Drosophila melanogaster: one gene and its partners. The protein of the gene in region 1 interacts with the protein of each later gene in a pairwise test. Each region holds a gene or a part of one and is shown in the gene's direction. Other genes may lie near its edges. The genes, in order: Rca1, CG11444, CG14151 and Taf11.

Region 1 (8,343 bases):
TATCTTGTTTTCCATCAGTGGCGAAGAAAAATCGCAAAGGAAGAAAAAAAAACGGACTGAAATTGAGAAAAAATGACAAAGGCACGAGTTGAAATGATGCCGCTAAATGAAATTGGCAATGGGAGCCGCGATGCCTTGAGCATGTTGTGAATGCGAAATGAACCGAGTGACAGTGACACCCCAATGTGGTGACCTATACACCCACCAGCACCTGGCTGTCAACCCTTTTTGGTCCGGCCCTTTCGTCATATTATTATTCAAATTGAAGCCGTTTTTCCGTGTACTTTTCGCATTTTTCCACCGAAACTGAAATAGCTGCCCCATGATTAATTCACACGGATGCGAATGGGCTCGGGGGTTTTCCAATTGTGGGATCTTCAGACGACTGACCCTTAACCCTTCTCCACCCAGGACACTTGTCTTGCCAATTGCTACTTTGACAAATTGTAGTGGCCGTGGTGTCAAGTTTACCAACTCGAAATTAGAAAAAATGTAGAAAAAGCATTTAAATTAAAGAAAACAGAAAAATAAATGAATACCAGTCAAGAGCATTTATCTAACTAGAAAAGAAGTACTTACTTTATTCTGTAATTTAATCTGCTAATTGGCAAGTCCCAATAAAGCGTTTTTAAATTTGCACATCTGAGTTCAGCCATTTGTCATGTGCAATGCACGTGTCCTATTCAAAAAAAAAAAAGAAACTGGGATGGATGGTTTTGTTTTTTAAAATACAACAAAATCGCAATTGGCGAATCAATCAAATTTCGCAAATTGCCTGCTGATACTGCAATGTATCAAGTTACCAAAAAAAAAAAAGGAGCAGTTCAATTTTATTTAAAACATTTTTAATTTCCTAATACATTTTCGCTGATTGATAGGTATTTTTTTTTTTTAATATTTCTTGCAATTTATTGAGAGCACTTCTATAGGATTTCCTATCCTATTTTTCTGCAATTCATAGATCGCAGAAATGATTAAATTTTATCTGGCAGACTTAACTGCTCCTTCGACTTCTGGCTCGCCCACATCGTGAAATGCGAAAACATTAAAATGATAAATGAGTGCGATTATTCCCTTATTACCATCAAATTAATAATGCTCCTCTGGCTCTCAACTTTGGCCCGGTAATCAGTTTAATTTTTGTTTTCCTTTCGCCACTCCCAGGTAAAAGGACAAAAAAGCACGGGTAACCAAGCGATTTATTGACTAAAAATGAATTACCACGCAGTGGGCCATCATAAAACAGAGCAAATAGTTGGTCACTTGTAGAGAAAGTGCAAACGTTGAGATACCCTAGAAAGCAGCAACATTAAATCTTTCTAAACATAAGAAGTAAAAGTGACATTAAGATATTCTTCAAACTTTTTAAAACTAGGGAACATACATCCATTAACAACTCAATTTTAACAAGTTAACAACCTACGAAAGGGTAGCAAGAATGAGTACTCATATACTTATAAACCCACCGCCGAAATCAAACACAATCAAGCGAATTGGGTTCCGTTCCAGTTTGAGTTCCAGTTCGGGTTACTTTGCTTGCACAGCCATTTGAGTTTGTCCGTTCGTTTGGTTAAAAATAATCCGACCACTTCGCGTGGCCGCAAGGACACCCAGGATGGCCTCCCACCGCGGTAAACATCGTTTGTCAAATGCTCCGACTGCCCCGTCCAGCTCCAAGCCACGACAACTCACAATGCCATCCTGGCCAGCTCCATCTCCAACTCCACCCCATCCTCCATCCTCCACCTTCAGTTCCAGTTGCAGTGTGTCCAGTGTGGATGGGTGACTTCCTTCCTTGGTCGAAGGACTTACGTGAGTCGCGGCCGTGCGATAAAATAACCGGTTACAAAATATTTGTTGACATTCCGCGGTAAATTACCATAATTAGTTGATTCGAGCGACCGACCCATGTTTGATCGGGCTGTCATGGGTTAAAGCACCAATGGAGTGGAATGGGTGTGCGTGCAGCGACATAATGCCAAAACAGGGCACTGCCCACTGCCAAAAGGATAATAATTAGAGCATATGTACGGATTGAGTGCAAATATTGACAGGAGCTGCCCTTCCTTTCCCCCATTTGTCATCATTCCGGGTCGTTCTGGTGCGTAAACTCAAATTAATCAGCCGCATATCAATATCCGTGCAAACATAGCTCCACATCAAAACATATGTATGCATATATGCGCTACATATGTCGCGACCTTTTGGACATGGATTTGCCTTGCCTCAAGGATTTTCCCTCAGCCATAAGGAATTGTGTTCTGTTGACAGTAGTTTTTGGGGTGAAGGTTAGTTAGCATTCTCGAAGCAGGACAAGGCAAATAGATTCATGGTATGGTAAAGTCGCGATTTGTACAGGAAGTAATGTAAGTCCTTAAAGTAAAGTCAAGGAAATGAGTTGAGACTTATTTTTGAAAACAATATTTATGAGTGCAAGAGCACTACTTCATTATTCAACCAACAACATATTATTTCTAGCAAATCTTGTAATATTTTATATAATACTTTAAATATCATTGCAGTTATCTTCTATATACACCTAAGATAAATCAATGCCTAGCACATATCCCTAGTTCGACTCATTCGGCTCCCATTGACAAAGTCATTAGTTAACATCCCTCTGATCTCAAAGCAAACAGGGTGACCACGACTTCCCAGGACCGAACCAAATGAACCACAGATTAATCCCAAAGCCACGACGACAATTAATATGCTGCCATATCCACGCCCGAAAAAAAAAAAAGATGGGCAAACCGGTCAGTGGAAAAGAGATTAGAACAGTCAAATGACTTTAAATTAAGCCGATGTGCGTCTGTCCGTCGATTTAATTAAAATCAAAACAAAATCTTTGCCCGCCGACACGCCCCTTTTGGTGGCAGCAAATAGACAAATAATAAAACCATAAATAATGCAAAACAATAAACGAGCAAGTATTCATAAATTATTAACGCAGAAGCTGCTGGCCGACAAAAGGCAGCGCAAATACCCAAAATATTTTGCCAAAGCATTTAGAAGGACAATGAGGCACGAACCAGATGACAGAATCCGGGGTAGAATAGCAAATCCCCGCAGCAAATAATTGAGCCTCATAAAGGAAATATCATTCATTGATTTTCCCCCGGCAACCACAACAGATTCTCGACCTCTCATCTTTCCCAGCAAGTGGATGAAGTCGTCGGGCGGTTGCAAATGGTCCTTGGAATGGGAATGGGCACGAGCATGGGTTGGCCAGTGGTGGTGGGTCATGGGGCTTCATTTAGCTGACTCTATGGACAGCTGACGAAACTATCCACCTAGCGGCGAAGGAAGACTTTCACATGAATCCCAAATCTATGCCCCGTCATGATTTGCACAAAAAACTTGAGCTGGCAAATTTGTCAGTGGGCACAAAGGACGCGGCAAAGAAGAAGATGAGGGAAGCGGAACGGAAAAAATCTAAGGACGAGTCAGGGAGAACAAATGATAAATTATTGAGGGATTTTCGTTAATTTGATGACACTGATGATGGCCAAGGCCAGATTATCCTGACTGCCGAATTTTGATTGGGCCAAACAGGGAACAGAAGACATATCTCATAAAATAATTTGTAATGATTTCAATTTTAATAGATATAGATATACTTATGTTCGATTAAAATCTTTTTGTTATAGGCGTAGAAATTTAAATAGCACCATATGTCAGCTAATCGAGAGTATTTTTATAAGCTTATCAACATAATTTTACCAATGTCTTCAAAGCTAAGACGATGAAATACACTTTTAATATATATAATATAATATAATAATATAATATAATATAATAATATAATAATAATATATAAGATGTTAAACGGAATCCCGTTTTTATAAAGTGAATGTTTTCAAACTATTACTTATTTCCATATTTAATAAGTGAAAGTTTTCTATTTTCGAATTGGTATTAAAGCAATAAGCTGAGTATATAGGTATTTATTTTATACTTATGGCGTAAGGCATGGAAATATAATTTATTGAAAGTCAAATTCTTGGTGTTTTTAACTTAATGAACTGATTATACATATTATTTATCACTCTTATTCTTTATTTTACTTCTTTTTTCGAGAGCATTAGTCGCAAGTGCGTCTTCGCTAGCTTTGGAATGTGTACTCGCTAATATGGAAGTATGTACACACTGCATAGAATGAAAAAACGCTATCTTATTCCAGAACCTCAAATCTTGTACAGCTTGAACTCTTTTAGACATGTTTATAAATGGCTGAAGTTGCTTATGTTAATAGGAGTCTACGATTAACTGTCAGATTCCAATAATCCGATCAAGTGGCATCTTTTAATGCACAAGTTTAAATGGTTTGCCTAACAGTCACGATAATATATATCAAATGGTTGGCAACGCGATACGTAGCATTCTGAGTTGACCCGACAATGAACTGGTATCTATTTAGTAGCCAGTTAGTATTTTATTGGGGCGGTCACACTGATCCGTACCCAAAAACAATCAACCGATGCGAAAAGCATAACAATTCGAAAGTTTAAAATTCGGTCAAGATGAGCGCCTATTATCGGCGCGCGGCGTTGCGGAAGAAGAGCCCAAGCCGAGGGTCATCCTTCGAGTTGGAGATGAACGAGTCTGGCTACACATCCTTCCTGGCGCTGCACAATTCCACCGCGGAGACGCCATTTTTATTGGAGGACGCTGAGGGCGAAAACTGTCGCAATGCATCGAATACCACAACATTCTTTCGGGGGCTGAACACGCCCAGTGGCCACCAGGAGCAGGACCTTTACTGGGGCAAGCCCTATCCCAGAACACAGCCCCAAAAGAAATTTTCCGCGGAGGAGGAGCCTTTCTCTATGACTCCGCGTCTGCAGGATGAGCATAGTCTGCCCAAGCGACGCAAGAAACACTTTCAATCGCCACACAGTAGCCCCAAGAAGTCCAAAAAGCTGCTCTTTCCCCACATAGAAGAACCGCCCAAGAATCGCTTCTACGGCGGTGTCGAAAAGCTGGATATCGTGGCCAAGCTGGCGCAATGGCAACCGGCACTGCAGTGCATACTGCGTCATGTGGGCGCCCACACGCTGGACGTGATGACCAAGGTATCGCCGGCCTGGAAGCAGGCTGTTTATCGCAGCCAACGCGACTTGGAGCGCCTACAGAACCACCGACTCAAATTGAATCTAACCAAAGAGAATCCTCACGTGCCCAAGCGGTGCAGCCATGTGCCCAAGGCAAACCACACAGTGCCATTGCAGACCTCGAACCATAGCAGCCTGGCCAACAGCGCCGCCTCGCTAATGGACTCGGGCAACTCGAGCATCCACCTGATGGACGTGGATGCCGGAAGGGTGCTGCGCGAGCAGACGCAGCGCGTCAAGTGTCCGCGATGCGGTCGAGGCAGCCGGGTTTTCATAAGCGAGGCGGCCAAGTGTGGCGAAAACCTATTGTCGCAAACTCTGCCTATTGGACGTACAACCAGCACATTCCCCTGCATGACGGGTCCGCCTCTCAAACGCTTCCTGTCCCTGGATCTTGACGAGGTCAGGACTTCACCGCAAGGACCGCCATATAACTTCGCCGAATGCACCAGTGTCATCTGCCAGTTTCGGTTCTGCGTCAACTGTCTGTGCAAGTCGCATCCCGGCGAGCGTTGCCTGGTCACCGAACTGGACACACCATCCAAACTGATGATGCCACGGGAGCGACTGACGCCGCCACAACGTGCCCAGAACCGTGATCCGAAAATCACAAGGAAGAACTCGCTCAAGCGGCTCTGCTTTTAGCTTTATCATAGGCTTTTAACTATTACGATTAGTATTCGATTTTTTTAAATCTCATTAATTTCGTATTATGTCCATCGCATTAAGTTCCATTTCATCACGTACATTCATATATATGTTTTTAAATCGTTCCATGTAAGGTTTGTCGGAATTCTGTACCTCTGCGAGATTAAGTATTTTTTACACATGCAAAATATATAAATCATTTTTAGAACTATAATTGTTATAATTATAACTGGGGGAAAGTGATTCCTGTTTATTAACATGTAAGGCTTTGTTATTATACATCATTATAACAGGCTTCAAAGGCAGCCTTAATATGTTAGGCAAGTCTTAAAAATATTTTATTATTATTGATTGCATTGCATAAAATAAATTCAAACAGAAAATGTTTAAAATCAGCTGTAGTATACTGGTTTGGGTCTTGGCTAACGCCAATGCGCGCTATTTACCGTAAGCTACTTTGTGTACTGCCAAGAGATCTTTGGCCACACCAACAAAACACGTGTGGAGTGCGGTTGCCGCACATTTATTGTTCTCCGTTTTTACCTTTAATTAACTTGAGAAAAAAGGAAAAAACGATCATCCAAAATGAGTACTGCGTTGGCACAGCAGCTGCAGAAACTGGCTGCGCCGCAGTCGTCGGTAACTTTGGCAGATGCACGAAGTCGCGCCTCCATACTCTTCGATCCCAAGGAGGCGGCCACCAAGGATCGGCGGTCCATTTATGAGATCGGGTTAACGGGACTGCAGGAGCTGACCGACTTTAATCCGGCCTTCAAGGAGTTCCAGCTAACGTTGTTCGATGAGGCCACATTGACGCTGGAGCGTTCCGTGGAGCTGCCGGAGATTAACAAGATGCTGGACGCGGCCATTGCAAAGTTTCTGCGCCTTCTTTCGCCGTACCTTCTGCTCCGCCCCGCACACATGGCCTTCGAATGGTTGCTGCGACGATTCCAGGTTCACGAGTATAACCGTAGCGAAGTTATGGCCCTGATTCTGCCCTATCACGAGACAATGATCTTTGTCCAGATCGTTAAGACCATGAGGCTCCGGTCATCGGATGGCGACTGGTACTGGCTGCGCCCGTTGCAGCGTCCTGGCGTTCCGCTAGCCAAGACTGCTATTATTAACAGAGCCGCCAGCAATCCCGCCTTCCTCGGCTTCATCTGCCAAAGTACCCAGAAGGCGGTTAAGGAACTGGGTCCTCGAGCCCACCAACTGCAAGCCCAGATCAACTTCTATGCCACCGTCGTAGTTGGCGCCCTGCAAACGGCCAAACCACTGCAGGACTGGCACATCACCACTATTCTGGAGTCGCTGCTTCGTGGCCTGATTTCCGATAATATCGACTTTATGGCGGCCGCCTATGTGATCGTTGCTCAGCTTGTTTCCCGCACCAAGCTCAAGAGCAAGGTGTGCAATGCCCTGCTGGAACGCGTGGCCAACTGCCCGTTTGAGAGGCTTCACAGTGAGTCGCTGCTCCTGCTTGTCTGCATCTATGGCAAACAGCAAGCCGCATTGCCGCACTTTAAGCCGGAAACCATACTCAATCTGGTTGGGAAGAAGTGGCTTATCTCCACTCTGTCCTCCCTGGCCAAAGGCAACATCGCCATCCAGTCTATCTGCATGCCACTCATGACCGGAGCCGTGGCCGCCATTCGGGACGATGACGCCTCTTCTAACTCATGCAAACTGTTCTTGGACAACCTGCTGTCAGAGGTGCCAATGCCAAAGCCGACTGCTCAGCAACTGATCAAGTGAGTACTAGAAGTATCGATCGAAAATAATAAAAATAAGAGTTTATACACTTGAATTTAAAACGATTCAGCTGTTCCGATTTAAATAACATATATACTTTAACCATTTCAGTTGCTTTTTGGATACTTATGTAGAGACTGCGATCGATGCACCAGAGCCCATGGAAACTAACTCAAACGAAGATGACGATACCATTGTAATTGATTCGGATGATGAGATCGAGACGGAAAAGACCACCTTTCAAGCCTGGTATTCCACTTACCTCGAGAAGCTGGAGAGACGCTATCCAGAAGCTTTTGATCTGAGCGTTAAAGAGGCCTTGAGATCGAAATCCTCCACAAGCAATCGCCAGAAGGCCTTAAAGTTGGCTTTGGGTAAGTAAAAAATAATAATATTTATATATTTATTGTATATAATGTTTTATTCGATTGAAGGCTTCCGTCTCAACACTACTGATGAAAAAGCGAAGCACGCCTACGAAAAACTATACCACTACAGCGCTGACTGGCGACTTAGTGCTGTTCAGAAACTACTCCAGAATTTGAATGTGACTAAAAAGCGGGAGAGAAGCGTTAAGCTTCTGCAGGAATGTCTGCCCGATAGGATAAATGATGATAGCGGTGCTGTGGTCTCAACCTTGCTATCATTGCCTACCGAAGAGCTCGCCGAGATGTTGGGTCCGTTGCCTCTGGCTCAAACCCTATGTCATCTGCTGTATCGTGCTCAGTCCGAAAAGGATGAGGAATGGCAACCTGTGGTTCCCCTCGCTGTTCGTCACTTGACCTCTGCCTTGGTGAGCGGAAGCTATGACACAAATTTGGTGCTA
Region 2 (8,379 bases), on another chromosome or scaffold:
GCTGCTCGACTGCTTCTTCTTCTTCTTGGTCCTGCGCTGGCTAAGACTGCTGCTGCTGCTGCTGCTAGGCTTCTTCTTCTTCTTCTTGTTCTTCTTCTTGTCCGAAGAATTGCTACCCGATGATGAAACACTGCTGGAGGATGCAGCGACATTGCTGCTACTTGTGGCCGAAGAAGCAACGGCTGATTGTTCCATAGCCACTGGCTTCTTGATCACTTCCACGGGAGTAAGCTGTTCCATCTCCTGCTGATTTGGATTCTCCTCTGGCTTCTTCTTCTTTTGATCCTTATCCTGCTTCTTTTTCTGATCTTTATCCTGCTGCTGCGGCTTTTTCTTTTGCTTCGCAGGCTGCTCGTCATCTTGAGCCTGTTGCTTGCGTTTCTTCTGCTGCTGTCGCTTGTTCTTCTGTTGCTGATTCTTGTTCTTCTGTTTCTGTTTCTGTTTCTGGTTCTTCTTGTTCTTGTTCTTCTGATTGGGCCGCTTATTGACAGCGGGAAGAATATCGCTGTCATCATCACCGGTTACCCAACTGGCTATCGTAGAGACGGGCTGGTCCTCGCTGATGATCTCCTCCTCGAAAACACCCAGGCCATTAAAGCCGGGCTGATCTCTGTAGTAGCCATTGCCGCCGCCGTAGTAAAAATCATCGTAGTCCTCTTCGTCATAGTCGTCCTCATCGTAGTCATCATCCTCATGCTGGTCCACCACCTCCCAAGGCTGAACGAACGGATAGAAGCTAACGCCGGCTGACTGGTGAACAACATCCGATTGAACGGGCTTCAGCTCGAAGACGGCATGGGTATCGGGATTGACTTTGGGCGGCTGATGCGATTGGACCACCACGATGCCAGCATCCTCGGCCACATTGGCATGACTGGCTGCATTGGCGACCACACTGACTCCCTGATTCAGATGGGCAGCAGTGGACTGGCTTTGCAGGGGCAAAGCCAAGGCAGCGGGCACAAAGTTGGACTGATTTCTGGAAGACTGATCGTCGCCATCATCGTCCTCCTCGTCGTCATCGTCGTTGTCATCGTTCTGCACATCACCCTGGGGCAGAGGCGACTCCAAGTGGACTCCAGTGAGGGCGACATAACGTCTATTGCTATTGCTATTGCTCTCCACCTCCTGCAGAACAGCTCCTCCCTCACGATGTTCCTTCGCCGGCAGACTCTCCACCTTCAGGGGTTGCGAACTAACCGACAGAGCTGCCGATCCTGATCCTGATCCAGATCCTGCTGCACGACCCGAACGCTTCCTTCTCGTGACCACACACTGCGACTGACTGCCATCGCCCTTCAATTGGCGACCCTGAATATAGAATCGCTTCAGCTCGTACTCATCGCCATTTTCGTCCACCTCGATCATGGTCTCTCCAGCGACCCTGGTGGCCACCAGGCACATCCCGAGAGCCAATAAAGCCCAGACACAGCCGTTCCTCATCTCGTCTAAAACTGAGCTAGCCGACGATCGGCAACCGGCTTATATTAGCTCGCACCACACGGACCTATTGACCCACGGCTAATTGCCAAAAAAAAAATATATATATATGCTAGCTAGTCCATTTGGCCAGATCGAGCAGTTTAGCTCAGCGTAGTAGCTTAGCTACCCAGTTGACCGAAAGCTACGGTTTCCTACGAACCCGAGGGCTCTGAATTATTCATCAGCTCAGCATCGCAGCTTGGCTAGCATCGTTGGGCTTTCTTCTTCCGAGAACCCGTTTTATTACTATTTCTTCTTTGACTTTCTGTCGGGGTCAATGGATCGACCGATCATTAATAACCCCGAATCGATGCGGATGAAAGTTTCTGCCAAAAGGGCCATTTGTGGGTCATCTAGGTTGCGATCATTTTGCACAAAGAAAAAAACTAGCTAAATTTAGCCACACCTTTATACATATGTACGTACATAATTGGAATGTAATTCAAGAATTTTGTAATTCATTTTTTTTTTTTTTGTATGAAAAGGTCAAGAGGTAAACTTTATGCCCAGTATAAAGTCCTAATATATGTAAATAAGTCCTAAATTTCTTGGGATTTTTTTCTCTCTGTATGAATTTCAACCCTTTTTGGGAGTGGAAAGTTGAACATGGGGACCGTGTCCAATGTCGCAGCTCGTAAAAATAGTTCTGGTGACTCTATTGACTAAATTTAAACCAGACACATTCCTCTCCACAATTGAGTTGTGCTAAAGATTTATTTTGACCAAAGAGATGATTTATCCGACAGTTGGCACAAAGAGCAGATAACGAACAAAGGGACTGGTGTGGCATTTCTAGATATTCCGAAACGAAAGGTTAGCTCAGCACACGTGGTGCGAAAGTTCAATGTTGTAGTTGCAACATTAAATACCAACCAAGTTTGCCATATTAAATACCCTCATTCTTAAGTCATCTTTCATATGCTCAGATAAAAACATAGTACCGCATTTCGACAAAAGAGTATAGAAAGCGAAATTGACCTTTGATGGAATAAGCGAAGAAACAACGATGGGAAAGCAGATTTCTTAGCGGGATTAAAGTTTCTTTGATGCTGCTGAGCCAAAAACGAAATTAATTTATTGAATTCGTTTTCGAGATTTTTTTTTTCTACCTAAAATGTACCGAAAAAGAGACATTTAGCGAAATTGGCCAACAAAAGCCAATAAACATTCCAAATCACAGTTTGTTTCTGTTTTTTTTTTTTGTTTTTTTTGTTTTTAGTTGAGCCCGCCGACTAACTTAAGTCAGTTGGACCAAGTCAAACGCATTTTCAACGGGGACACACTCCGAGCTGCGGCCATTTATTGTCCACTCTGTGTGAATGCTAATGAAGCATCGTAAATTTCCAGAGCCAAGAGGAGTGAAGCAGCCCGCGGGCCAAATAGTTGGGTGTGATCCAGGTCCGCCGAAGAATCCAAGATGGATTTTGGCATTGGTGGTGGAGAGATGGCAGCTGAAATGCTCTCTCTCTCTAGCCGCTTGAGATAATTATTCTACATTTATTTTATTTTTAAGAAAATCCATTTAGAAGGTGCTACATTGTTAGGACATTAAGTAATGCCTGGTTCGAAATCAATGGGCTTAAGACTGAAGAGATGTGGCCAACTGTGGAGATAAATAAGTGTTGCCTTTTGTGCATAGTAATTGCGAAAAAAAAAGTACAGTAAGCACTGGCAGAGCCTGCAGCAGCACATATTTGTATGTCGCGCACGTTCTTTAAGTAGCAGCAGCAGCAGCAGCAGCAGCAGCAGCAACATCAACGGGCAACACCAGCAGCAGCAACAGTAGCAGTAACAAGTAAGAACACACCTTGTTCTTGTACTGATATCAAGTGCTGATTACTGATTACACACGCAGACAAATGGAAACTAAGGCAATATGATGGGGGAAGCGACGCCCGATCGACAACCAAATCGGAGTTCACCAAACGATATTAGACGGGAATTTGTTTCGTTTCTTTTCGATTTTGTACTCTGTGCGCTCTGTTTTTTTTTTTTTTATCACAATCAGCCTCAGCAACCAACGCAATCTGTCATCGACCCATTTGTGGCGAGACATCACAGTGCCTGCTCTACTATACATATGTACATTTGTACACACATGGTATGTACATATGTATGTACATGTGCATATACCACGATCGTATCGGGAATCAGAGCACAGTGAAGTCGAGTGCCGAATGTCGGGAGAAGTGTCCATTGTCCATTGTCCACTGTGCACAGTGACTGCAAAAAGTTGAGCAAGAAAAAAAATGAATATAAGTTAATGCTCTTCTTTTTCATAGTTATACAAATTGTTCTATGCCGAAATTACAATTATATCATAAGGTGTTTACAACGCGGGGGCAACTTCCCCATCGCTAGTGTGCAAACATCCCGCACCCACACGCCTACGAAAACCTGGCCCACCTGCAACACAACAACACACACACACACACACACACACACATGCATAGATATATAGTAGATATACGTTTATACGCCATCCGATCTGAGTGATCGTATAAAAAAAAAAAAAACTGACGCACGCAGCAAGAAAGTGCGTATACGCAATTAGAATTCCATTAACTAATTTCTTCTCATTTGCATGGCGCACTTTCTAAGTGCATAAGCAGCATCTTGCCGCTGTAATAGCAATAAATAAAAGAACTTTCATTTAAATTTATTCACTTAACAATCGGGGGAAATGAAGAGCGGGCGAGAAGAACAGCATTTACGATGAATTTTTGAATATTTGTTTGCCGCTTTCGTGGCGAGCACACATGGAATTCATAATTAATTCGTGCATTAAATTTTCGAGTATATTATATTTGGTTATATTTCTGGCTCTTTTTTTATTGTTTTTTTTTTTTGTGTTTTTTTTTTCTTGCCGGCCAAAATCAATAAGTTGTACATATGTGAGAGTTTCCGTTAATGAGATGCATGATATCGAGGAATGTGCGCTGACACAAATATGCAAAACGATTTTCGTTTATTTCTGGTTATTAATGCCGCATTATTCGCTTGCAACTTGTGGCGGGCGGCCAGTGAAAAGCGAAGAAAAACTGGTTTTCCGGCAAATCACAGCAGCAGACCAATGCCAGTGCGACTCATTTATATACACACAAACATACATACATACATAATCACGTTTTCCTGCATCTCGAGATTCTGTGCAGCTGCAGTTGCAGTTGCAGCGAATCGACAAAATGGCGGTTTCAAAAAAGAAACCAATCAGTGAGTAAAAGTAAAATCGGTTTTTCTTCTTTCAATCGATGGTGTTGACCCAATAAAAAGAAAAGAGTGGAATATGTACCACTAATTTATGGTTTGCCATCGCCCAAATGAGAATTCCCAACACGTGTGCCTTATTTATTTCAATTTTAAGCAGTTTTCCGTTTTTTTTTCTTATAAAAGCCGCAAAGAGCACACTTCCAAAATCGGGATATTTTTTAGTGAGATTATATACAGATAGATAGCAGGTGAAGGGCAAGGAAATTATATATGTATTTAATTTCCAATGTATACAAATATTTTATATTTTAGAATTACAATGATAAACAAAAAATCATAAAACTAAAGAGTTTATCCCAAAGTTACTTGCAATGCTCAGAAACTACGCTAAGTAGGCTCCTATTCAAAGTGCTAGTCAAGCGAAGTGAGCAAAAAAAAAAAAAAATAAGCAAATTCAAAAAATTAAACAACCAAAGACATTTTCGAATTTCCCGCTTTGTTTTGAAACGGTTATGGAAGCGGTTAATTACCGAGTACAGCAAACTTGAACACTTGAGGGCGCCAGGCGTGATACGGTATTACCATTCGTGTTATTTATGCGGTATTACTATGCAGTGAATGCACGGGCGCACTTTTGACCGGCACTGTACAACACTGTGAATAGTGCAAAAAAATTTTTTACAACGTGATTAAATATAGATAATTTTCGAAACATAAACGGACCGTAAGAATCCGTTAACGTAGCCAGAGTAAAAGCTCTAGATACAAGCACATCGGACATACAGGAGGAGAGACCTGCGAATACCCGGGAAACCGTAAGGATCAGTCCATAAATCATCATGCCACGAGGAAAGTTCGTCAACCACAAAGGTCGCAGTCGCCATTTCACATCTCCCGAGGAACTGCAACAGGAATCGGAGGAGGATAGCGACCAGACCAGCGGCTCGGGATCAGATAGCGACGATAAAGACGCTGCCGGCGGCAAAGCCAGTTCCTCTGCGTCCAAAGCCAAGGCACCCGCCACACGTAAAGCGCCCGTGAATCGCAATCAAAAGTCTCGATCAGCGGCGGGCGCCGGTGCGGCAAGTTCCTCGGAATCGGAGTCTGGCGAGGATTCCGACGATGACTCCGAAGCGGAAGCGCGCGATGCCAAGAAGGGCGTGGCCTCACTCATCGAAATCGAGAATCCCAACCGGGTGACCAAGAAGGCCACACAAAAGCTATCGGCCATCAAGCTGGACGACGGGCCAGCCGGTGCCGGCGGTAATCCCAAGCCGGAGCTTTCTCGCCGCGAACGCGAACAGATCGAAAAGCAGAGAGCGCGCCAGCGTTACGAGAAACTCCATGCTGCTGGTAAAACCACCGAGGCTAAGGCCGATCTGGCCAGATTGGCTTTGATCCGGCAGCAGCGCGAGGAGGCGGCCGCCAAGCGGGAGGCGGAAAAGAAGGCAGCCGATGTGGGCACCAAAAAGCCGGGTGCCAAGTAGATAATCCATCCCTTTTGAAACCTTCCCTTTCCCATGTGGGATTTAATAGAGCTCTCAATCGTGCAACGTATACAAAATTCGCAATAATCCTTTTGATGAACAGTGCAATTAGTTAAGCATAAATTACCGCAAACATACCTTCAAAATTATGCAAGTTTTCTAAGCCTATCTTTTGTAACTGCAATTAACATAAATAAACCAACTAATTGTAAAAACAGAGAAAGTGCGTGTGTTTCGTGATGATTAATTAGGATCCCAGATTATATTATAACTATATATATAAGCGTCTTTGTATGTTCTAAACTTTAAGAAAGATGAAAATAGTATTCTGGTCTGGATATTCCACCAAATTTTAATGGAAGGCAATCAAAAGAATAATATGTAGACTAACTACTAGCTATGACTAAACTAAGAAAAACAATGCTTTGGACTTGGATTATACCACGCCCCAAACCTCCTCGAAGGCGGAACAGATTTTGGAGCACGCGATGGCCGCCGAAAGTGGATAGTTGCTAATGGAGAACAGCTCCTCCGTGTAGTCCGTTTTGAGAACGCCATGTGCGAAGGCTCCAATAACGATGACCACCGGCTCATCATAGCTGGCCGACGTCTCGTCACCATGTGGCACCAGATCCCGGCAATTGGGCAATAGTTTGCCAGAGAAGCTCATGGCGTACTTCTTGCAACCGACCGGCACATGATCCGTAATCGGATTCTTAATGACACTCATCAGACGACGTGAGGAGTCATTGGCGCGAATTTGGAACTTGTGCAGCAATTGCACCATTAGGCCAGCAAAGCGTTTAAATGTCCTCGGGATGCGCGTCTGGGGATTGATTTCGATAAGCACATTATGCTCGGTGCGCACAAAGACCTGAAGCAGACCGGCCCGGTTCAGTGGCGAATCGAAGAGCATCAACAGGCACTGGTGGGTGATGTCCGGACGACAGGAGCCGGGATCTCTTTGGTTTTTGCGCATAATTCCCGCGTGATCGTCGCAGTTCAGCAGCTCGAAAGTGTTGTGCACCTGCAGCAATGGAAATATGTATTTATATATATATATATATATGTATGGAAGGATGATGACCCACCTTCACCGTCTCCAGTTGGGCTCCTTCCAAAACGATGATCAGCCGCTTTTCGGTGGCATTCAGATGGAGCACCTTGAATTGCTTCTTGTCCAGATCGAACTCCGGATCGTCCGCCTTGCGACCGACAAACTTACGCTTCCTATTGATCGCCTTGCCCTGACCGCCCATATCGTAAAAGTAGTTGTATATGGTTAAAAACAATTCCGAAATTATTCTTAAGAAATCCGCACGTTTTTCGAAATGCACAAGTTCAGTATGACCTTGTTGCGGGCTCCCTTAAATACCCAACTTAAATAGTATGGCATATGTTTTTCAGTATTAAAAACAACGAATGCATTTGCTTGGGTCTGGTCACACGACGGCGAGTTTGTTTATTTTTTGTTTGCATTTGGATTACCGGATCCTTGTCGTCCTCCTGGTTTTGCAATCCTACAAGATGCGCCTGTGCCCGCTGGCGTTCGCCGTGCTGCTTGGCCTTTTTCACCTGATCCAGGCCTGCAATCATTGGGTTCTTCGCGAGGAGCAGATCGTGCCCAAACTGGACTCTCCATTCCACATGCGTGAACCCCACAATCTGGCGGCATTTCTCAAGCAGATCAGGTACAGTGAGTATGTGGAGCGCTCCTATCTGGATCTGCTGCGCAAGCGGGAACAGATTGTGGAGCACCTACGATTTTCGATGCGTTTCGGTGAGGATCTGGCCGAGCAGGCCAAGTGCGCCATGGACTACTACATGCTGGAGAAGCGAATGTCTTACCTGAAAATTACGCCAGAGCAGTTGAAAAGGATTAATCTTCCGGACCAGAGGCAATTGCACATACAGAAGAGCGCATCCTCGATGGGAATGGAGCCGATATGCAGCGATTACCATCGATTAAGCGTGGGTCCAGCCACCTATGATCATCTGGAGAGTTTTCGGCCCGAGGTCCTGGCCGCTGCCTTTCTGGAGCGCGAGCATGACACCAATGTGGGCATGGCCACCGTGGAATTGACCCGGCGATTTGCGGTGGACGGATTGCAGCATCATCCGGCCTCCTGGAAGTTCCACACCCTAAGCTCGTACTATTGGCGCATGCGAGGAAATGCCCGGGAAGCCCTGCCCTGTGCCA
Region 3 (7,910 bases), on another chromosome or scaffold:
TTCTCTATGCAATCCCACTTGCCTTGATCTAATGATCATTGGATGTGGAAAATTAACCTTGTGCCTTCACAATGGGCACCGAAAAGAAAAAACACCCGCCAAAAAAGAAGTCACAGGAGAAAAAAAAGAGCGGTCATAGCAAGTCGAAGCAGAATTCTTTGAATTCCAATCTGCCCAAGATATGTTTCGTCATAGCAATTTTCGATCTGCTGCATGCGTTATATTTTACAGTTCAAGCAATGATTCTTCTGGTTAAACAGGTAGCTATTGTTTAATTAAAACACAAAATTCTTAATAATCATTAAATTAAACCAATAATAGTTCAGCGCGTTTGCTATGTTGGCGCTTTTGGGTGTCATTTTTTGGGTTATAATGGTCATCCTGTTGATGGTTGGCCTTTATAAGGTGAGTTTGAATTTATTTATTTAGTGGTATTAATTCCTAAAATTATAAACACATTAGCGCAAGCCAGTTTTCGTAAGGTATTGGCTTATATTTTCCATAGTCGGCTTTATAACCGATATTCTATTTCTACTTTGGGGCATTGCGACCTCAATAACTGTGGACTGGGACCGTCTTAATGAGTTTTCAATAATTTTCCTTGGAATATGTAAGTGATATTTAAATTTAAAATCAAATACAATTCTAATGTTAAGTATAATTTTAGTTGTTGAAAGCGCCTGCATATATTTCATACATCGGTACTATCAGATTATGGATGAATCGAAAAAGAAGAGGACCCTATGTTGTAAGATAGCTTTAAACTAATATTACATTTTACTACTAATCGATTTTATATAGGTGGCGGAAAAAACGAAAAGAAAAAGTCTAAAAGCCCAAAAAAGAAGAAAGGCAAAAAATAAGATCTTTCAACTTTAGTTGGCTTTGTATTTCCGTACTAAAAAAATATATATTTATTAGATTGTTTCAAACATTTGTGTATCGAATAAATTTATTTCTTACAAAATGTCTATTGAATCGGGAGAGCTAAAGTTGCCTACGGATAATCTCCTAAGGACATGCTTTGTTATTGGCGCTTTTGAACTGGTGCGTTCATTGTATTTTTCATTTAGTTCAGTTTCACTCATGGTCTTGCACGTAAGTATTGTATTTGAAAAGAACGTTCTTTAACATTTTTAGCCATTTATTGTTTTGCATTAGACGAATTGGTATACCATAATGGCCTTTCTAAGTACAATAGCTTGGATTGCGACCGTTGGTGGACTGTTTGTTGGTTTATTGACAGTAAGAATTAAAAAAATTTACCAACTATATACATATTTAACTGTTTCGTATTAATTAGAGTCGACCAACTCTGCTCGTATTTTGGTTACTGTTCACTGCCTTTGCAACTGCTACGGATATTATTTATTTAATATGGAATGTTACTTCATCTCCTATTTTCGACGCAGAACATTTAAAGCGCTGGACCATTTCATATTTGGGAATCTGTATGTTTTTAATTTAATAGCATTCTTAGACATTGAATTATAAATCTTTGCAGTTTACGAGGTCACTTGCTTATACTTGGTATTCAGATACTTTAGGAGATTATATTCCTACGTCCTTTTGGAGGGTGATAATTATGATACGACTACTAAAGGTGAATAGCTTAAGCACAGATTTATACGATATACTATACATAAATTTCAGATAGAAAAACAGAAGATTACAGAGATAATGAGACTCAAACCCAATCTCCAAGTTCAAAATACAGGACTTCTGGAAGATCTTCTAAAGGATAAAATGCCAGTTTGGACAAAAACAGCAAAAAGCTTGATTAATAATGATCATTTATGTTCGTTTCATTATGTTCAATGTCCACACACGGTTCAAAATCCCTTTGGAGTTACTAAAATAAATTAAAAATGGTTTTCTTCATGTGTTATTTGGATTTCTATTTACGGGAAATCAATTCCCGACCCCCCATAAGCAATGATAATAATTGACTTATACAGTTTTCCATCTATTTTCCGATGCCTGCGAGGACGATAGGTGGTCACGTTGCCATCGAGGGACCAGGAAAAAGGACAATTCAATCTCCAGGACCTGCTGACAAAACAAATGCCATAAATGAGGAACGAAGTTCGCCAGCAAAAAGCAGTTCACATTGGTTTAGAATGTTTTGGGAATACACTTGGCAGCTATTTTTAGAGCTCAGTATTTGAATGAAGAGATTATAAATGCATGTAATTTAGATGTATAAATTAAAACGGAAATTACAAAAAAATTCATGAAACTAAATATAATTCGCAGGAACATTGAACTTGGCATATATTGAAAACTTCTGTAGTGTATTGTACTTTTGGCCACTGAGTCTCCCTACATTCCCACGCTTGAATACCACTGTGCTGTGTCCATGAATGTTGGCAATCAAACGGCTTTGATTAACAGGCCGCCAAGACCCGAGTAACCCCCTTCTCCAATCGCCAAGTACGTGCTTATCATCATTATAGCTTTGATTTAGTAGACAACATTGCCAGTGATGTGATGAATCTTAGCCTGGGCGATGGGGTCAAATTCTGATGGATATTTAGTGCCCTGTGCCTATTGCATCGCCTTGCTGGACTTCATATCCGCCCTGCTATTCGCAATTATCTCAGGAGTGGTATTTGCCAGGCATGTAAGACAATTAGGCCACAGTCCTTTCAGGGAAATTGTGGCTCAATTTTGGTATTTGCAGGGTCATTGGACCGCCTTGGTTGCACTGATCTTCACCATTTTCTGGATGGTTATAATCATAGTTTTGATGGCGGGTATCTATAGGCGAAAACTGGGACTGGTACGATTCTGGTTGGTGTTCACCTGCTTGGGAATACTTCTAGATGGATTTATACTGCTCTACGGCCTGACCTTGGCCATATCTGTGAACTGGGAAGGTGTCAAAATCACAGTGCTGCCCTTCGTAGGACTGGGTAGGTCTAAATAATAATTAGCGTATTTAATTTACTGAATATATAATTGAATTTCCTTTTAGCCGTGGAAATGACTTTTGTCTATATCATATACCTACTTTATCTGGATATGATTGATTACAGTGCAACAGAAACGCCTCCCGATGAGAAGTATAGAGAAAGGAGTGGCTGTGATGTGAAATACGCTGAGGAAGAGGAAAAGCCACTGGATCGCAAGGATCTGAAACGGATGGAAAAACAAGCCAAGGAGCGTATGAAAAAAGATAAAGCCGTTCTCAAAAAACTTCAGAAACAAATGCGAAAGTGAAGGTATTAAGTGTTTAAAGTATTGATTTTTATATTTTTAAAATAAACATGAAATTGAATGCATTGATTTGAACTTTTCTTTTTGTCTGAGACAAGCTCTTTAACTTTTATCACACGCAGGATGCGGACCACTCACACCTACACAAGCCACTCACACACACACACACAAGAACGCCAATGTTAAACACAAAATCCTTTTAAAATAATTTGCTCAGCAGTGAGTAAAGAAAAAATCTAGAGATACAAATGCAGCTAAACGAATTCGAAGAGTTGCATGCCCTGTAGATAAATAATATATTTTTAATATTTTTACAAACTTGTCTTTTAATATTTTAGCTATAAAATAAATATATATAACCCTTCATTTTACGTTGTTGAGCTGCTGTCTGAAGGTCTGAAAAAACCCATCTTCATTGGTTGTGACGGAGAGTTTTTAACTATTTTTCCCCTGCTATTTTGGTTTTGAATAGGTCTTTTGGTTTCGCCATAATTAAAATGATGCCTTTGGTGACTGTGTTCTCTTTCATAATCCATACAAGCTTCCTGTTGTGCTATTTTTGTGGCTATAGCCTTATGACAGGCTTGGCAAAAGGCCAAAGTCACGTAGAACCGTTGAACGATGTATAGAAAAATGCACTCCACAACTGATAGAAAAATATAAAGTTAATTTTAAGGTGATACTTCTAATATTGCACTCACTCAATCCCACCATGAGTAATAGTCCATTTTTGACCAGACCCATTTGGAAGGAGCTCTCGTTGAAAACGGCATACAACACCAGGCACATCTCGACCATGATTCCCACGCAGGAGAAGATAATCCAGGCACGAACACAACTAGGATGGCGCTGTAATTAAGCGAAGGATACCATTACACTGTCACCGTGAGCCACCTTTTTAAATACGAATATACCCCATGAATGCCAACCAGCAGCATCACAATCATTGTTATCCAAAAGAGGCCAAAAATAGCGGCAAAAATTGTTAGCCAACTTAGCTGGAAAAATGTGAGAAGATTTCTGAAGATTTTCTACTGTATATAAAGATTTAAAGGGTAGCCTTACGTGTTCGCAAATTGTCTTCAAACTGACCATGGAAAAAAGCAATGCGCTGATCAGATCAAAGCATCCTATAGCATAGGCCCATATCAACAGCGATTTCTTGCTGGAGATCATATCGAAAAATGAAAACATTATTTGTGGCAGTTGAAGATAGGAACATATGATCAGTTCAATGAGTGTATAACTAATGATTGTGTAAATAGATAATACAAGTATATTTTTAAGCCGTTTTCTTCAAATTTGCTAGTACATTTATAAATAATTAATTTTGAAATGTATAGATAGAGCATATTTAACAATTACTTAAAATCTTTCTTCATATTTAGGGTATATTTTAATATGTTTTTTTAGCTCAGCTAAACAAATTACTACGTTGTTCGATCACACTCCACACACGGTATCAAAACGGAAACGGAAATGACAGCCAAGTTCCGCTGCTATGGTTGTCGCATCTATTTATGCAGGGAAAAAATGAGACATACCACCGTATAGTGTACGTAAGTATATAAGCATATACCCATGCATATAATGCCACGCTGATGAAATACGTGCGGCGTCGGCTCACGCAAACACACACACACACATAGCCACTGCTCTTACCCTGTGTGTGAGTGAGCGTGTGTGTGGTAGTGAGTGTGAGTAAGAACGAGGGGAATCCCCGTTGACAAATATAATTTTACTTTTTTCGCGCTCATTTGCAACTTGGGCGAAAAAGTGGGAGCACATTTTGATCCCCGGGGTGCGACAAAGCCTTTTTAAACATCTCACTTCCAGTTCAAGTTTTTCCAACAGAAGCAACAGGAAACTTGAGTAGAGATGGAACCGTAATGGAGGCTCAGTTTCTTTAAAATAAATTATGGCACTTTAACAAATGTATTTATCAAACTTAAGCTTGAAAATTGTAAAAAAAAGGTTCTTAAATAAATGAAATCTATCAAGCTTAAGATTTTTATTTGTATTTCTTTAACTCCAGTTTGTTCGCATTTCCTATTGAGCAATCTTATTTCAGACCCTATTTATTTTTCGGTACACTGCTAAATTTGTCATATAAAATGTTTTTAAAAACCATTAAGTATCAACTAAAACCATAGTGATTGGACAAGAAAAAGTTGAAGGTGATGAATGCTTTGAATGCTTTTGGAATGGCCATCGGCTGGATGGACATTGCGGGAGTTTTGTTCTTCGAAATGATAATGTTCTATATGATGCGACGTCGTCGATTGGCACAAAAATCAGAAGTTGCATCGATTGAAGCACAAGAGAAGTGCCATAGAGATTCATTGCCCAGTAAGTGCACTCAATAAAGGTACTCAAATGCAGTGTTCTAACCAATTTATGTACTCGAGATCTCTTGACAAGGAAAAAGCTGAGTGAAAGCGAAAACATTTGGATATTCTGGGGCTACCTGTTGATGCTGAATATTTGGATTGGGGTCACTCTGCTCATGATAGCTGGCATCTCATTTGTGGGTGAAAAGTATCCCGTTGAGTCTCATCAACTCCGTTCCATTCATTCTCTTCGTATTTTCAGCAAAAACCGGAGCTTATGACATTATGGTTGATATGGTGCGCCTGTGGTTTGGTCTTCGATGTCTTCCTCATTTTGTGGTGGGTCTACGAACTTTTTGTGGGCGACGCTATTGAGGCACTGACCAACATTTTGATCTCCCTGCTGACCATGGGTACGTTTTCTGCCTTAAATTAGTTACTAACTTTATTATCTTTGTGGCTTTTATTTGATAGCAATTGAGTTTGGCTTCATCTATGTTATCTACACCATCTTCTTGAACTTGTCCAATGCCACGAAAAATGAAGAGACCAAAGTGGCAGAAAAATCTAGATATCATTTTATGATGATTTCAGATCAGAAGAGATAAATTCAAATATGTTTGTGTTATATTCATAAATTTCATTTAAAAGTTTCAAAAATATTACGTCTATATTAATATCTCCATATTGACATGATTTAATTACAGTTTTCTATACAACAGATGCGTCTTGACCGGGTCATAGGTCATCGTTCATACGGCGCCAGACAGAAAACCATATTTTGTATCTGTTGTGCCGACTCTTGTTTCTCGTTTTCCTGTACTTCATCTGCTTCTTTCGAGGGCTTTTGTAGTTTTTAATGGTCTGCAGCACGGAAATTGATTCATTTCCGTTTCATGCTCTGCGCTTCCGGTCTTGTCTGCTCTCGTTCCTCCTACGCCGCTTTAAGTTTTCCAGATCTCAGCTGCTCGTATTGAAATCAAATTCAAGCTGTTTTAGTCCTAATTCGGCATCTAATTCCATTTGTCCGGGCTTTGGAACAAAGTGCGTGGATTGTCAACTTGTCACTTGCAACGCGATGCCAAAGTGAAAAGCAAAATATTTCTTCTTTATTAAACATTGCTGGAAGTCCGTTTATTTTCAAACTTTTTTATTTTTTATATACGTATATTTCTCTGTTTTTTTTTTTGCGGGTTTCTTTGGTCTCCAAGCGCTCACATTGGTCGTCCTCGAAGGAGCGACTGGCTGCTCAAATTTATTGTTTGCAAATTGAAATTCTTGTCGACACGCACGAGCAAATCCATTGGGAATGCACAGCATAGCGCAGAATTTCAGCATCTCAGCTCTGCTCAGCTCGTCAGCGTCATAGTCATAGTCAGAATTTCGGATTGGGACGGCAGAATGGTGGGGGCGTGGCACTGGTACGGGATTTGATGGCTTTTGTGTGCCCGGGCAGCAGCTCATCATGGCTCTTTAGTATTTATTAAGACTGCGATGTGCCATGAAACATATTTCGATAAAACAAACAAAAATTTTAGAGCGCCGTTGACAAACGGAGAATGGGTCTTGGGTGCAGAATAGATGGATGGAAAAATCGGAAAAACATCTAGTTATTTTCCACAGCATGGAGTGCTCCTCAAACTCATGTCTAGAATTTATAGTCATGTCGATAAGCCAGTATCGAAAAGACACCTTTTAAACAATCATTGAAATCAGTGAAATATATATAGTTTGTTTCAAACAAAAGTGAGTAGTTCTCCTCTCTTTCGAGGTGAGTTTTTCTCTCCATTGTGAACAGAGTGCTATATATAAAACATTTTTCCGACTAAGTGGATCAGTCAACTTGAAAAATGCGAACGGTGCCCATCTTGTTGCTAATTTGCTGCCTAGGCTGGTTACACAAAGGTATCTTATAAAAATAACTTTCTAATAAGATTAACTGAATAATGTTCTTCGTAGGCCAAGCTGACGAAAGGAAGATTGGCGCTGTGGGTCCGCCTATGAAACAGAGGAGTCTTCGACATGTAAGCTCCTTTGCTAATCCAGGGCAACCGGGTAGACCTGGCAGCGGAAGACCAGGACGACCTGGTCAGGGAATGCCTGGCCGACCTGGGCGTCCAGGAGGATCAGGTGGAGCTGGAGGAGCCGGAGGAAGTGGAGGTGATGGAGGAGCAGGTGGGGCTGGCGCACGACCAGTAAGAGGAGGGTATTGGAGGAAAGGTATTTCATTGGGTCAAAGGCGACCAGAGCCAAGGTCAAAATATTATTTGTATTGAATCAAATTTTAAAGTGTATAGAAACTGTTGCTTAAAAATGTGTAACATATTATAAATAAATTAAAGAATATTTAAAAAGGATTAA
Region 4 (7,854 bases), 2.9 Mb from region 1:
TCTTTAAACTGCGCTTTGCCCAAGCCACAAAATCTCAAATGGTTAGCAGTTGGGTTGTTCTGCTAAGTGAGTACAGTAAATAACTAAGACGAGTAGTTAAAAAATATTAACTAACCCTTTAGATCGCTTTGGAGGCATTCTCTCGCTTATGTACGGTTTCAGCATAGTCAGTTACATAGAGATCCTGTACTATCTTACAGGCAAAGGATTTGTCTACATATACAGGTCATTCTTATTAGATAAGGAGCCTATCAATCACAACTATTCACTTTACTGGCGTGAGCTCCGTAGCAATCTGCCAAGACAAGAACAACTTCGAAAATAATCTCACTCCGCTTATATTCTGAGCATAATACATTGTATATATAATTCGGTTGGCGCATGCTCACAAAAAATCAACAATAGAATGAACTTATATCAAAAACCGTATATAATGCAAGCCATACATCGCCGAAAATCGGTCACTGTCCAGTTCCTCATCCCACTAGTAGTCGTCGCCACGGGAAACGACTTCTTTGCAGGTGGGTCGCAGCATAATTGTGTGTTCGTACTGAGCCGTGTAGCAGCCCTTAATGTCGCACAACGGCGGATAAGCCTCCACAATGCCCTTGTCGCACAGATCCTTGAGAGCCATCTGGTACTTCGTGGCACCGGCGCGGTCCAGCCAACGCTTGCAGAAGGCCAGGGTGCCGAAGTTTTTGTTGATGGTGCCAAGCAGCTGCTTGGATGACTGCAGGCGCAGCGGCACAAACGGCAGATCAAAGTTCTTCATGTAATGCGAGCAGTCCATATCGTCATGGACCAGACCGCGACCCGTCGAGCCGAACGTCTCAATGGCGTAGAATTCATCCTCCTCCATGCGAGTGGACTCTCCGCCTTTCACAATGGGCACCGTTTTTCCAGCATGAATGCCTGAGAATTTAATTTTAGACTTCATTAAGTGTTTGCACAAATCACAATAAATTTAAACAAAAAATATTAAGGAAAGCATAAGCATATTTAAAATATTTATAATAAATAGATTTTTGCTTACGGTACGGGCTGATGGAGTGTCCATTTAAGTTGCGAATCGCCTTGATGGGATATGTTTTGCCGTCCAACTCGATCTCGTACGACTCCATGACCTCCTGGATAGCGGCGCCGATGTCGCATAGGCGCACATCGATGCCCGCCTCTCTGATGCCCGTGTTGGTGGCCTCCTTGACGGCCTGCAGCAACTTGTCGTACTTGTTGTTGAAGGTCAGGGTGAAGGCGCAATCAATGATCCGCCCCTTGATATGGGTACCAAAATCAATCTTGCACACATCGTCGTACTGCAGTACAGTGGGGTCTCCGGCATTGGGCGTGTAGTGGGCGGCGCAATGGTTAAGAGAGCAACCAGTCGGGAAGGCCAAACCAGCCTCCAGACCATTTTCGCCGATCAGGCGCCGAGCAGTGTTCTCCAGCTCCTCGCAGATTTGGATCATGGTCATGCCCGGCTTAATGTAGCGCTGCATATACTGACGCGTCTGACGATGGGCCTCAGCCGCCTGGCGCAATTCCTGGTAGATGTCCGTGTTGATACGGTCCAGAGCACGCTTCTCCTCCGATGTGAATCGGTCCTTGGCCGTACGATCGTCGGGCATATCCTTGGGCGTGGGGTGCTCCACGATCTCGCCCTCGGGGAAGTTGCCGTCCGGATAAAGCTTAGCAATGGGTATGGTGGGCGGATCAGTCTGACCGCTTTTCTTGCCCTTGTTCCCCTTCTTCTTTGCCGGCTGAGCGGCCGGTGTTGCCGGTTTGGCATCTCCGTTTGTGGTCAGCTCCTCGTCGCCGCCTTCTCCGGAGGCTATTTTGGCTGCCGCTTCTGTGGGCAAGTGGTTAGTTCAGTGGGTGGTGGGTGGTTGAGGCGGAGAGGGTCGTGCAAATGCAATTACCACAGTGCACTGCTCGCATGAGGTCACTCACCTTGGCGGAGCTTCTTGTTGTTCGGCTTGGGCTTCTTTTGTTTCTTGACCTCCTCGCCGATCTCGGGCGTTGCCGCCTCCACATTCAGAGTCTCGGTTGCAGACATTTCGCAGTGCCTTGGTTGCTGGCTGAACGATGAAATAAACGAAAATGTAGCGCGCACTCTTGCCTGGCGATGGCGATGCGGAGAAAAGAACAAAAACACGAGGTGTCAGAGGCCAGTGCTGTAAAACGTGCTGTGGACTATCGGAACCAGTGAATGTTCAATTTGAAATTTACATAATTTGACTTTGAGCACTAATTTGAAGAAAAAAAAAACACTACAAAAATAAAAGTTTATCGAATATTGTATATTTATATATTTATTATTTATTAAAATCTCAAAGCCACCTTATAAACAACTATGATATACCTTTAATATATTTAATCCGATATTTTGAATTATATTCATCTATTATGTGGTGCGGAACTTTTGAGTGTTGCAAAAAGCGAATATGGTGCAACTCCATCCCTGGTTGATTTTGTTTATTATTCGCTGGTGCTTTTCAAATTTCATTTAAATGGACGAAATCCTCTTTCCCACGCAGCAAAAAAGCAACTCCCTAAGCGACGGCGACGATGTCGACCTGAAATTCTTCCAGTCGGCCTCCGGCGAGCGGAAGGACAGCGACACCTCGGATCCGGGAAACGATGCGGATCGTGATGGCAAGGATGCGGATGGGGACAACGACAACAAGAACACGGACGGAGATGGTGACTCTGGCGAGCCGGCGCACAAAAAGCTCAAGACGAAGAAGGAACTGGAGGAGGAGGAGCGCGAACGAATGCAGTAAGTTAGCTTAAAGCGATTCGAAGGGGTAATCCTATAAAAACTATTTTATTCCACTCCAGGGTTCTCGTTTCCAACTTTACGGAAGAACAGCTGGATCGCTACGAAATGTATCGTCGCTCTGCCTTTCCCAAGGCCGCCGTCAAGCGTCTAATGCAAACTATCACCGGCTGTTCCGTGTCCCAGAATGTTGTGATAGCCATGTCCGGCATTGCGAAGGTCTTCGTCGGCGAGGTTGTGGAGGAAGCCCTCGACGTGATGGAGGCCCAAGGTGAATCCGGTGCCCTGCAGCCCAAATTCATACGAGAGGCAGTGCGACGACTGAGGACCAAGGATCGGATGCCCATAGGCAGATACCAGCAGCCCTATTTCAGACTGAACTAGCGAGTCGAGACATTAAGAAATATAGTTTGTAAGGCTGTTAGTCAATATAAAAATACATAAACAAGTAAAAAGTAAATAAATATAAAGATTTTTTTAACAAATCCCATATAATTAATTTTCTCTATTACGAATAAATTCCGAAACGTGTTTTTATAAGGAAATTTATTTTTCTTAAATGTTTTTGACAGGTCCGTATGGCGTTAAACCTTCATCTACATCAATTTTATGTAGCTTATTTACGTTCAATGTTATTTAATTAATCCAGTCATTAAGTAGATATTATTATGTAGTTGTCATCCCATTTGTTGTACAGTAGAATACGCATCCGTTTACAAAAGAATCTTTATTGAGTGGGATCGCTAAATGAATGTGTTCCGAAGTTACTCCATTCGCCGGGCCTCGGCTTGCATGGTCTGCAGTACGATGTGTGGCACCAGGTGTGTGGAGGCGTAGTTCAGGGGCACCGTGGCCAATGGCGCTGAGCCGTCAGATGGGAAGTTGAGCTCCTGTGCCATGGGCATGTCCCTGTCGATGACATCCTGGGCGATCAAGGTCTTGGTCTCCTCGTACTCCATGCCCGCCTCCGGCTTAGCGCCCATCAAGAGTTTTCCGCGCTGCACGCCCATGTACTGGGTGGCCTTGGCATTCAAAGGCAACTGGCCGCAGGTATCGGCATGCACCTTGCGATGTGCCTGCAAGTTGGAGATGCAAGTGAAGCGCTTGCCGCAGTTATTGCACAGGAAACGCTTAATGCCCGTGTGCACGGTCATGTGGGTGAGCAGACTCTCCCTGTACGGATACTCCTTGGGACACAGGTGGCACTTGTACGGCTTGTAGTCCGTGTGGCGCGTCTTCAAGTGCGACTTGTATTGCGCCTTCACCTTGAATGTTTTGCCGCACTTATCGCACTGGTACGGAGTGTCTGCCTTGTGAAGGAGCATGTGCGTCTTGAGAATACTGCGGAAAGGAAGATGCGTTACTAACAGTCTTAGAATAAACATTCAAACACAAATAGTTATTACCCAGCGGTGGACAAATGTTTGCCGCAAACGCTGCAGCCGTAGAGCGGTAGACGGCCGCAGTCAGAACGAACGTGGTCAGAGAGCGATGTGCGTCCGGTGAACTTCTTGCCGCACTTGTCGCAGATGAGGTTGCGCTGCTGGCTGCGCGGCTCCTTCTTCGAGTGGAAATTGCGTTCGTGGTTCTTGAGGCTGTCGTGTCCGGTCATGTACTTGTCGCATTTTTCGCAGTAGAGCAGTTCCTTGTGCTGGGCCCTAGCATGCTCAGTGGCCTGTTCCTTGGTGGCGAAGAAGAGGTTGCAGTAGCATGGGCACTTGAAAGTCAGCTTGCCATCTTCGCCATGCACCTTCATGTGGGTGACCAAGCGCTTCTCCACCAAATAGATCTTGCTGCATATGGGACACTTAAAGACTTCCTCGTCCAGCTTAGCATGGACGTCCACGTCCTTAAAGATCTCTTTCATTTCCGCCTCATTTAACTTGTGGTCGTCGCGCAAATGCTTTTCGTAGGGCTTGCGGATGTGGTAGATTTTTACGCAGTGAGGACACTTCCAGGATTTTTCCATCTTGTTGATCATCTTAAGGCGCTCCTTTAGCTCCTTTTTGCTGATCTTAGCTACGCGTTTTGGTGTACCCGATGAATCGTCAGGCGAGGGCGATCTAGGTGCGTTTCGTTTGCGATACTTTCTCTTGACCACAGGTATCTTTTCCTTTGGCGGTCTGCCCCGCTTTCTTGGTCCGGGAGGTTTTTCCATTTGATGACCCCTCAGTTCTAAGACATCTTCTTCCGCAACCTCCACTAGCGGCACGGCCGCGATTTCGTCTAGTATACCAGCGCCCTGTTCCACCTTTAGGCTCTCAAAGGGCTTTAAGCCATCACCCTCATTGAGCAGCACATCCAGCAGCTTATCCTTTTCGTTGCTAAAGATATCGGTGCTTTCGGTCTTCACATACATGCTGGCGTCCTGGTACTCGAAATCTTCTTCGTCGAAGGCCTCCACCTTGACCATAGCCGGCGGAGGAAGCTGGAATCCGGATGCATCCGCATCGTCCTCACTGTTGTTGGGTTCGAAGTCGGGACACTCGTCGCCCGAGTCCGAGTTCTGGCTCTCCTGCTTGAGCTTCGTCTTCAGACGACTGGCCAGAGGAATGTCATCATCGCTATCTTCCGATTCTTCGCTGGTGGTATCTTCATCATCAGAGTCCCTGTTTCTGTCCTTCTTGCGGAAGGCCTTATGTTTCTTCATCCCATCGGATGAACCGGGCGAATCGTATTCCGGCTGTCCACAGGTGTCGGGACGACTGCGTCGATGCTTGGATAGGTTAGAGGCGCTAGAGAAGCGGGTGTAGCAGCACTTGCACTCCATTGGTCGGGATTCCTCCTAAGGAAGAGAAAGTAATTATTATTAATATATTTACAAACGGTTCCACTGTTTCGGTTCTACTCACCCTGGGTAGCTTTTCCTCGCCACACTTGGTCCTGCAGTGGCGACGGTATGCCTCCTGGTACTTGTACTCCGCGCCGCACTTTTCACAAACGAAAGGCTTTCGCTCCTGTCCAGCTACCGCGCCAGTGACTCCGTGCTCATCCTTTGCATGCTGGGTGAGCTCCTCCTCGTGGCAAAACCGAGCATCGCAGTGACGGCACTCGAAGCCGCCCGGCGGCTGGTGCTTCTTTACGTGCTTCACATATCCGGCTAGGGAGACCAGCGCCTTGTTGCACACCGGGCAGTGCAGCTTGGGTATTCCGTCGGTGGTGATCTCCACCAGGAGCTTGGTGGCTGCAGCCGCCGCACTGCTGCTTGGAGCCATCGACTCGGTTTCTGCGAGTGGGGAATTGAGATTATAGCATGTTGGGGCGAACGTAAACAAATGCAAATTTGATTTTCGGTTGGTTTGGGTTTGTATGCGCCTACCAGGGCTGGGTCTTTCAGTTCTGTCTTAAATGCACTTGTCGCAATATTATTGTATTTATATTTATCATAGGGTTTAGTAAAGAAGCTGCATTGTGCACAATAATAATAACTATGTAAATCAAATTAGATCTAGTGACTTCCGTTTTTTCTATTTTTTCGTTTTAAGCAAACTATCAAATTTTATTATTATTCTTTTGGTTACTTTAATTTTTATAAGCAGCTTCTTTCTGATAAATTATTAATTGACATGACATTTGTAATTTTCAAGTTTATAAATTAATTTAGGATATTCATTATTATGTTAATAATGGTTTCAATTTATATTATTTTCAATTTCTATTTGATTCAAAAAAATAATAAAAGCTGTTTTCCAATGGTCATAACATATTTTAGTGCCATAAAATGAATGTATTCATAAGTCTCCTTTCGAACCAACTATCGGCAACGAGCCCTTTGTTCGATATTCAATTCGTTCTTGCAACCCACCACCACTACCACCGACACCTCCAACAACAACAATAACACCGACGACGGCAGCCGATTAGCGACGCTGTGCTGCAGCCCTGGTGGCGTTGCGTTCGCCGAGTCGATGGGCAAGTGACGGGGGAGGCGGGGCAGGTAGGCAGGACAGCGACTTGAAGTGCGCGCATCACGCACAAATGCTCCTAGTTGGCCTGCATCGGCTGTACCCCAAAACGGGGCTCCACCTTAACCCCCCGATATCGTGCGATTCACGACTACATATCTACATGCACCACCTACATACAACACACACCATGTACACCATATACACCGTATAGACCGTATAGACCGTATAGACCGTATACACCTACCCATATCGGTTCGGTATCGGAGTGGTGCTTCCTTGGACTTGGATTGTGGGCCCTTTTCTGCTCCTGCTCTCTCCTCTCCACACCGCTCCACGACGACTCTCCGAGATTCTCAGACACCGCTGAGGGGTCAGACAAATACAAATGTCTCGCTAATGATGGCTTCGCCTGATTCCGATTTCGAGTTGTTCGATTTGGGCTTTGGGTGCTGCGGAACACTTGGTTTTGCGCCGAATGCAGCTCGCCGCATTTTCACTCACACTATTATTCGGCTATTATTGTTTGTTGTGGTCGGGCCGAGCACTGCGAAAAATATTAACAACTCTTAAGTACACTTTAAAAAATGAAAAAACGCCAATGAGCTGCTGGCGAGTAAATTATTTTTCTTTGTGCAGCTCGAGGGTGGCAATGCAGCCCTGGTCGCAGCGCTCATTTGAGCGTCGGAACTGGTTCGCCCCCAGCATTGCCACGAACCAGTTCGGTACGGCTCTTCTCGTTTATTTTGGATTCTCAGCGTTTAAAGTCGTGGCGCAATTTCCCCTCCACGGTTTGAAAATTTTGAAAAATAAATTTTAAGTTCCCTTAGCATAACTAATTGTTAATGAAAATACAGCTGTAAAATAATGCAGAAAGGAACCGACCAATCTTTGAGCTTGTTATACTACTTACTCGCCGATTAGATACACAAATTTTGTTCACTGCACAGCGAGAGAGCCGCAATCCAGGGTTGCATTGCCCGATTCTCGGCGGGCGATTTTAAATTCAAATTTAGCAAATACTTCTTGTAATGCCATGGATTGTTTTAATAAATCAGTCTTTAAAACTATATTTTAAATTTTATTTATTTTCTTTTCTAAGCCATTGACGTCGTAGATGATAATAATACGTTAATTAATTCACTATTCTTTAACTGTTATCTATTTTTCTTA

Evidence for each region.
Region 2: the proteins of Rca1 (region 1) and CG11444 interact in a two-hybrid assay, tested with the Drosophila melanogaster proteins (one large-scale study listed by BioGRID).
Region 3: the proteins of Rca1 (region 1) and CG14151 interact in a two-hybrid assay, tested with the Drosophila melanogaster proteins (one large-scale study listed by BioGRID).
Region 4: the proteins of Rca1 (region 1) and Taf11 interact in a two-hybrid assay, tested with the Drosophila melanogaster proteins (one large-scale study listed by BioGRID).

What each region holds. Positions count from the first base shown.
Region 1 is NT_033779.5:6,847,899-6,856,241, forward strand, and holds Rca1 (regulator of cyclin A1), read left to right. Parts: upstream 1-4,416; 5' UTR 4,417-4,523; coding exon 4,524-5,759; 3' UTR 5,760-5,968; downstream 5,969-8,343. Other genes in the region: l(2)k09022 (lethal (2) k09022), read left to right, coding at 6,348-7,516, 7,629-7,891, 7,952-8,343.
Region 2 is NC_004354.4:4,551,135-4,559,513, reverse strand, and holds CG11444 (uncharacterized protein), read left to right. Parts: upstream 1-5,115; 5' UTR 5,116-5,531; coding exon 5,532-6,179; 3' UTR 6,180-6,397; downstream 6,398-8,379. Other genes in the region: CG3546 (uncharacterized protein), read right to left, coding at 1-1,404; CG3527 (uncharacterized protein), read right to left, coding at 6,616-7,206, 7,271-7,438; CG11436 (uncharacterized protein), read left to right, coding at 7,707-8,379.
Region 3 is NT_037436.4:10,623,053-10,630,962, reverse strand, and holds CG14151 (uncharacterized protein), read left to right. Parts: upstream 1-2,478; 5' UTR 2,479-2,509; coding exon 2,510-2,623; intron 2,624-2,683; coding exon 2,684-2,915; intron 2,916-2,977; coding exon 2,978-3,222; 3' UTR 3,223-3,283; downstream 3,284-7,910. Other genes in the region: CG42535 (uncharacterized protein), read left to right, coding at 72-260, 322-405, 463-610, 668-748, 802-863; CG42536 (uncharacterized protein), read left to right, coding at 967-1,098, 1,162-1,245, 1,304-1,451, 1,505-1,603, 1,654-1,745; CG34238 (uncharacterized protein), read right to left, coding at 3,588-3,865, 3,921-4,068, 4,134-4,217, 4,285-4,395; CG43127 (uncharacterized protein), read left to right, coding at 5,400-5,568, 5,628-5,746, 5,812-5,962, 6,024-6,157; CG42521 (uncharacterized protein), read left to right, coding at 7,400-7,454, 7,509-7,825.
Region 4 is NT_033779.5:9,757,828-9,765,681, reverse strand, and holds Taf11 (TBP-associated factor 11), read left to right. Parts: upstream 1-2,419; 5' UTR 2,420-2,507; coding exon 2,508-2,776; intron 2,777-2,838; coding exon 2,839-3,160; 3' UTR 3,161-3,258; downstream 3,259-7,854. Other genes in the region: ppk18 (pickpocket 18), read left to right, coding at 1-66, 123-325; und (uninitiated), read right to left, coding at 485-912, 1,034-1,846, 1,948-2,053; zf30C (zinc finger protein 30C), read right to left, coding at 3,541-4,117, 4,183-5,561, 5,629-6,002, 6,929-6,932. UniProt on the Drosophila melanogaster protein: The TFIID basal transcription factor complex plays a major role in the initiation of RNA polymerase II (Pol II)-dependent transcription.